Lepisosteus oculatus: one gene and its partner. The protein of the gene in region 2 interacts with the protein of the main gene of each other region in a pairwise test. Links are inferred from orthologs where the notes say so. Each region holds a gene or a part of one and is shown on either strand. Other genes may lie near its edges.

Evidence for each region.
Region 1: the proteins of tnip2 (region 2) and stk11 interact in binary tests that used the Homo sapiens proteins (3 or more experiments, as listed by UniProt). The link is inferred for Lepisosteus oculatus from reciprocal best matches to the Homo sapiens genes TNIP2 and STK11.

Annotation. Positions count from the first base shown.
Region 1 is NC_090724.1:7,566,626-7,570,545, forward strand, and holds the start of stk11 (serine/threonine-protein kinase STK11), read right to left. Parts: upstream 2,742-3,920; 5' UTR 2,275-2,741; intron 1,729-2,274; 5' UTR 964-1,728; coding exon 674-963; intron 1-673. UniProt on the Homo sapiens protein: Tumor suppressor serine/threonine-protein kinase that controls the activity of AMP-activated protein kinase (AMPK) family members, thereby playing a role in various processes such as cell metabolism, cell polarity, apoptosis and DNA damage response.
Region 2 is NC_090696.1:72,665,331-72,669,250, reverse strand, and holds the start of tnip2 (TNFAIP3-interacting protein 2), read right to left. Parts: upstream 3,017-3,920; 5' UTR 2,586-3,016; coding exon 2,199-2,585; intron 568-2,198; coding exon 265-567; intron 41-264; coding exon 1-40. UniProt on the Homo sapiens protein: Inhibits NF-kappa-B activation by blocking the interaction of RIPK1 with its downstream effector NEMO/IKBKG.

The DNA of each region.
Region 1 (3,920 bases), on a different chromosome or scaffold from region 2:
GAATACAGGATAAGGATAGGTCAACTGTTTACAATAGGTATTTGTGTTCCGTATGCTTAAGCAAAATTTATACGCTATATTTACAACATGAAATAAAGAGCTTGTGCGTTCACGATTGAAAAAGGCATGGAAACAATTTTTACTGTGTTGACTGCCCTTGTTAAATAAGTCAAAACTTCCAGAGCACATACATAAGAAAAATACATTATGTATATGCAGAAATAGCATGTTTTTAGGCTGAAAAAAAAAGGGATATTCGGCAGTAATGGACTTCCCTGTTCTCCTATATATACACTCCTCCCTATTAGTCCTTTAGGCCGAGGGATGACTGTAATTATAGCCTTACAAGTCCATGACCAGAGTGACACTTTCAAGACCACCCAGGCTTTTGGCAGCTTCAGATAGCCTACTCTCACATACTCACAGGGACACAACTGGCCACAGGTCACCGGCACTCAACGGGTCTGCCCTCGCCCGGACATCCACGTTGGCTACCCATACCCCACCCACACCACCCATGGGTGGTCCATGGTCCATGGCCCATGGGTGGTCCAGCAAAATGAAGACAGCCCCGTGGTCTTTTCTTAGAAGCAGACAGAGGGTGCCTGCAGCAGTCGGGGGGCTCAGACCCAGCCCAAAAGATGAGGATCTGGGGCCAGGAGCCGGGACTTACTTTTTGACATTGGCCTCCCCGTTGGGGATCCTCCTCAGCTTCTTCTTCTTCAGGATCTTCACCGCCCGCCGGCACAGCGTCTCCGAGTCCAGCATCTCCTTCACCTTGCCGTAGGAGCCCTCGCCCAGCAGGTCCCCCATCAGGTACTTGCCGATGAGCTTGGCCCGCTTGCGCCGGGGCTGGTAGATGACCTCCGTGGAGTCGATGCGGTGGATGAAGGTGTCCATGCCCATGAGCTCGGGCTCCGCCAGGTAGTCGAGGGACAGGCGCTGCAGTTCGTCCATGCTCATCTTTGCAGCTCAGGGGTTGCGGAGTTGGGGAGGAGGAGGTGGGCCCGGGGAGGGGGGAGGGGGGAGGAGGTGCTGGAGGAAGGGAAGAGGTACTTACTCCTGAAATCCCTCCGTTTTCTCCAAGCGAGAAGTGTGGAACAAGAAAGCTACAGCACCCAGTGGATAAGACCTCCAAGAGCTCGGGAATTCCAAGGAGAACCAGACTGGGGGTGGAGGGGCAGACTCTGCCAGAGTTCAGCTATGAAGCAGCATAGCCCGGACTGGAGTTCCTGATACACACACGGATGCAGAAGTGAGGGGGGGGGCTTTTACATACACTTTAGAGGAAAAAGTCTGGTGGTGCCCCTTCACATTACACCCCGCTGCTTCACAAAACCAGGGAGAGAAATGTAGTCGGTTTATGCTTTCTTTTTCCCCGTGATGGTGGAGGTGGAGGAGTGTGGAAATTCTAACTCGATGACAGTCCCTGGTGTTTGGCTCCTGCTGGCATCGGGGTGCAAATCCACCGTCAGCCAAGGAGCCCCCAGTCCGTGGACACCGACGTCATCCAACGGGCAGAAAATGTGTCCTCCCCCCCCCCTCCCCGTCTTCTTCACACCTGTAACAAGCGAGATCTTCTTTGGTACTGCTTTTTTAAGGGAAATTTTCCCGAAGACTTGACTCCCTATCCCCCCGCTGGTTTCATATCCTTAGGATTCCCAGCACACTACTATCAAAGAGTTAAAATTAGTCCTTAGCCAGTTGCAGCAAACGAAGATCCAATATCTGGAATGCAAGAAAAATATTTCAGATCAATGATACACGTAAGGCAGTTTGCGAAGCTAATTTAAGACTATGTTAAGAATAACATTGCACATGCATTGATATAGCAAAATAGAAACAACGACAATGCATTGTACGTGTCATCTGCAGCCAAGAGGCACATTACAGATTGTAAACGGACGCTAGCACAAACGACACCGCGAGAGCTCCAAGGCGTAAGATATTAAGTGTTCTCGACCTATTCTGGCTTTATTTGAACAAAACAAAAAACCAACAACAACAAATAAATTAGCCAACCCAGTGCAGCAATGCTACAGTTTTACGCGCTGGCTGAAGCAAAAAAAAACCAAACACAAACAGAAATCCGTCGCCCGTTACCCGAGATCAGTAGATGTGAACCTACGCTGACGGCCAAGCTGCACTCTTTTACTTCACCGCTTCAAAAAATACTAATCGCTCGTTTCGTAGAGGCAGCACGGCCTCGGATCCCTCTGCTTGAACACTACACTTGACTTGTTTATATTAATAATGAAAACCCTCGTCTCTTACCTGCTCGGCGTAATAAAAACGCACCAGCCCCCCGGCACTCCGTGCCCGGTTTATCCTCTGCTTAACTCTTTCATCTCCAGACGCCTGTCCTGCCTTTATTTTTTTTAAATGTGTATGTTTCTGGAAAAGAACCGGCAGACTGGAGACCCTCCTTCTAGTCACCAAAGCTGAAGTCCAGCAGATACGATGTCAAGTACAATCCAGAGAGACCGAATTAGTAGTACGACTGCTACTCCTAATATATCACTTTATGGACGTCCCGTCGCTGGCATCTCTTCCTCGGCCTCCAAAAATCCGGCATGCAGCGCTTCGCTGATGTATGTTAATTTACGTATTTACTTTTCCTGGCGTGTATCCGTGTCGGTGTAAATAGGATAGGTTTTGAACCCCTTAAATTTGCAGCCGCCGTCAGGCTGTCGCCATCTTGTTTACCTCCCCCCTCGCTCAAGACCGAAACGCCAGCCCCTTACGTCAGCGCGTCAATATGGCAACCACTTGCGTGCGCACTTATTGGCTACACGTCGTGTCAATCACTTCCCAACACGGTCCCCTGGAGAGGCGGAACCATCGAGCGTCAGAAGCTGATTGGTCGATTCCCTCCATCGATCAATGCAACTTTCCATTGCCTGTGTGTGAGAGGGAAGCTAGGCTGCCGTACTGTATTCTGTTTGGCCGGGCAGCTCGTCAGGTTCATAATGTCATGTATAACAAGTTCTGCCTTTTCGAAATCTTTGTATTACTGTATGTATTGGGATTCTCATAGAGTGGACCGATCCCAGGTTTACGCTTATTGGCTGATCGTTACTATCAATCCTAAATCAGGGGAAAATCCCAGAATTTGCACGGAGTTAAAAGGAGTTTCCATAGCGTGCCGCCGTCACTGGCTTTTACTTGAAAAACTCGGGCAGTTATTTCTCCCAGCAAAGCACAGGCGCTGCGGACTGGATGTGATATAACACTTTCACAAGCAGCCTACGTTTGTCACAGAGCACACAACGGGTGGCGACAGTCACAGCGGCGACCGGTTTCAAGCTTTCTGGATGAGACGCGGCAATGCTATGTCAGATGCGCTCTTGTTAGAAATGACAATGAATTCACTACGCCAGCAGGGTCTAAGTGGACAATGACACCCCGTCAATATGGCTAATTGTCGGTGTTTTTAATCTCTTTATGTGCGTGCACAGAAATCGTCAACTTATAAGATTCCTAAAAGATGCCAAACGGCAGGTTTTGTTTACGGAGCTAAAACTGTAAACGTTATAACTCTAATGTTAGCAAATAAGATACACGTAGAAAATGTCTTCATTATACACACCCACATAAACTACCTGAATGACGATCCCATCTCTATATATATATAATGCGTCTCATTGTTTTTAATATTTAATCAATGGTATTTATAGGAACGCGTAGAGGTTAATTCCCCGCTGAAAATGAAAAAGAAAACCGTTCCGGCTGCGGATGTTTGTTCAGGGTGTTTGTTACTTTTACAGCTAGGCTTCATCCAAAACCGTGTTCCCGTTCTCTTGACTGTAAATGATGATGATCGCGCAGGACCTATGTTTTAGATGCACCCGAGTCACTTGCGCGTAAGCACGTCACCACAGCTTTGTGTACCGGTTAGGCAAGCGAACAGTTGCTCTCTA
Region 2 (3,920 bases):
TCAAGGCTTGAAGCTGAGCAGAATTTGACGAATCCGCACCCTGGAGAGATACAAAACAGGAAACCAAGGATTAGCAATCACAGTCAAGAACTATATAAGCTTTGCAAAGACTGGAATTGGTTTGCCTTATTGGCATTTTTTTCTGGCTGGGATAATGTTAACATTTCCTCTAAAGTCACGCGGAGTACATCAGTGGTATTACAGCAGGCTGAGAGCAGTGTATGATAAGGGGCTGTACGGTCTCTTTCTCTCAGGTTGAGGTACCTCTCTGGGCTGCTCTGATTGAGTGGCACTGCTGGTGGAGTCCTCCCTCTGCTGCTTCCTCTCCAGTCTCTGCAGTAGCTGCTGACACACGCCTACAGTGGCGCCCAGCTGGGCCCTGAGATTTTCAGCCTCCTCGGCGAGAGAGTAGCACAGGACCGCCCTTGTGGCCTGGACTCTGTCCTTCTCCGCCACGGTCTGCTGCAGCTGCATGATCTCCAGGTCCTTCTCGTGCTGGGGCCTGCTGGTGATTCTCTGGATTTCCTGCTCTTTGGCACTCAGCTGCTGCTGCAGTTCCTGAATCTCCTGAAATTCACGGAGAGTGGGGATTTACAGTTACAAGAAATAAAACGCTTGTTGCTAATCTTAAATAAAGAGTGGTTTTATCTTGAATACCTATGCTGTGTGTGTTTTTATATCTATTTAAAGCACATAATTTAAATGTTTTCCTGTCCAATGCAGACCACACACAGACTGGGGAAAAGTAATGATGAGATGCTGACCTTCAGTTCTGCACTGTACTGTATATGATCTTAAATTCATTGCTTACTAAATTATTTGAAATAAAGGAGGCTTTCTTTTATTTCTCAGTGTCATGCCCTTATCTTGCAGGAACTATATGCACAGAAGCTAGCTTGTTCAAACACCTTGAGAACATATTTTTTTTTGTCAATTGATCTACCTAGTGTGGTCAAATGAAGTAAACATGTAATGGCATATGTTCAACTAAGTCTATATGCTGTATCTACATCAACATATTTCTTCATCTAATCATGAAACTGTAAGAATACAGAATCACAGACATGAACATTCCCTGAAACACAACATGCTAATAGCATTAAAAAAAAACGCAGGACACTAAACTCAAAACAGTCCTTTTTTCAAAAATAGGTTCCATGCACTTTCTGGCATAAAGGGATGGCAGAGAAACAGAAGAAATCACCAAACGAATTAACAAGTAAAAACAAAACAACCAAACCAGATAAGATACTTTTGAAAACAACAACAAAACAATCTTGATTTTCTGTTTGCATTTACCCTGTTTACAGACGCTTATGAATGTAAATGATAACTTTAAAAACCATATAAACAAGTCACATTTGTTTCTAGTGAAAGCACCAGCATTGCCAATCGGTGCCTTCCATGAAATGATACAGCTCTTCCCTGAGAAATGCTCTTGGGGTTTGGAAAAACTGAGTTTTTCCAGCTAAAGTGGAGGTTGCTTGTTTTAAGTTTTTACTCTTCCGGTTTCAGTATTGCAAATGAATTATTTCGCTGAATGTCTGAACCTTTACGATATTGAGATATTTGTCTAAGGCACTAAAAAGACGAGCAATAGAGTTGAATTAAATTAGAGTTGTAAGCAATATAACACACACTCGCGTTCATCGCTAAAAGCTGGAAGACGTTTATAGAATGTGTAGTTCACTCAGCCGTTTATTTTTCGATTATAATAAAACTAGGTCAGCAGAGTCCAACCCAAGTTCAAAATGTGTACTTTTTAAATAATTACTCTAATTACAGTTGAGAAGTGCATTAAATATTGGACATAAATATAAAAAAATACCTAATTTTATTAACTATACCGATACTGTAATATAACCCAAATGATCTTTGTTCAGCGAGGCGGAATTGGAAATATAGCCGTAACCATTTGGCCTATAATGAAACTTCCTAACATCCTACATCAGACGCTGCAGAAATCCCCCTTTCTATTTGCGTCACAAGAAAATTACAATCCTTTTCAATTTACAGCGGCTTACAGTCATAATTAAATTACCCACTAGTTTAATATATATAGATATTTATTTTTCAGATAAGAAAAAAGGAATTATTACTAATAGCAGGGGAACCGCTACAAATAAAATGCATTTTATTGCAGTATTATAACATCTTAAGCAGCAGATGTACACATTATACACCAAGAAATCACTTACTAGTTTCATGTTTCCCAATTGCCGATCAGCGCTTCTTTCGGTCTCTCTCTGCTGATGCTTAAGTTTACCGATTTCTTGACACAGGTTCTCGAACAAGGATTTAGAAGGTCCAAAAACCAGAGGTTCCTCTCCACCCATATGAACCGTCGTGTTTTCGTATGCGGCCAATCTTGTCTTCAAGTCAGCAATGATATTGTCCTTCAGGCACATCTGGTGGCTTAACTTGGCGATTTCTTGATTCGTTTCGTGGTAGAACGTGTTTAAAGTATTGTAGCTCTGTAGTTTTGTTTTGAGCGCCGCGTTTTCTCGCTTTATGCTTTCCATCAGAGAATCAGCTTGGTTGTATCCAGCGATCGGGCGTTCTGCGCAACCTGAAAGAGCCGACATCGGATGTCCCTCCGCTAATCCTCCAGCATTCCAGGTTAAAATTCGCTGTGTTCTTCACTTGAGACGCGCACTAACTTTTTATTCGACTGAGGGCTCTACGAACATCTCCCAGAGACAAGGGTCAGCCGTATAATAGATCGGTACATACAATTTCGAAATAATATTCCAGTACCTACTGGGGATTTCCTTCGGGACTTCCCCCAGTCGCATCGGCGGACTTTTCTTGTACTTTTCTTTCTTAGCAACTCTGAGATCCTTCAATGACTGCTTCTTTTCCGCACCGCTCTGATTAAGCTCTTCTGGTAACTTCTGGTAAATGTATTAATGAAAAAGATCAAGCGCTCCTGACTCCTTTTCTTAATGAAACCGTTTCTCTCTCTTTTTTTCCAGTAGAATGTATCTAGCCATGTCACAGAGTAAGACTACTTCTGCACATGCGTGAGATGTTTCCGGTTATAGACGGTAAACTTGTCTGGTGAATTCGTAACACCTCTTTTTTAATAGACTTTGATCATTCTGGATTTTTTTTTTCACTTTGCTACACACGGTTGATATACTCGGGACAATTTCTAAGTTTCTCACTTCATGGTTTCTTACATAACGAACACTTTTTTTTAAAACAAAAATGAAAAACACAGCAGACTTTTAAGAAGTTTTTTTTTACAAGTGTTTTCCCCCCCTTGTGATTAAATGTTTCTTACATGTCGCGTTACCAATTAAACAGTACCGACAAACACTCAATATTCGTAGAATTGTCCATCGTGTAATGTTTTTATTTTGTTTTTATTCTTTCCTTAAGCCTCTTTGCAGCCAGTGGGCTATTCATATACATTATCCTTAAAGATGGCTGCTGTTGCAGTTGTGTTTTTTTGTACTTTCTGATGCATTTGGCTCAAGAATGTTTAAATGGAAAATGGTTTAAAAATTACAGAGACCTGGACTCTTTTACCATCTTTGCAGATGCGAAGCTTCCTTCTACTATACTGTAGCTCTCTAAGGAATCCCCTTCAATCTTCTGATGGGCTTGTGTGACTGGAAATTAATTTTATTGACAAATGTAAGTCTGTCCTTACAAACAATAATCCTCACAACCACTGACTTGTTTTTCTCTGCTGTACCTGCAGTGGGAAATATTGGCTTGGTCATATGGTTTTGCGCGCTAAGTGCTCCTGGCTTTTAAACAGCCAACAATTATCAGTATTTTGCGAATATTCACGATTGTTCAGTATACAAGGGGCACTTGTATCCGTCTTCTTTTTATAAATATTTGTCACTGCGCAGTGTTCACTGTTTATGTAATATTTCAACTGTACTGATGATTTTTACACCTGGATT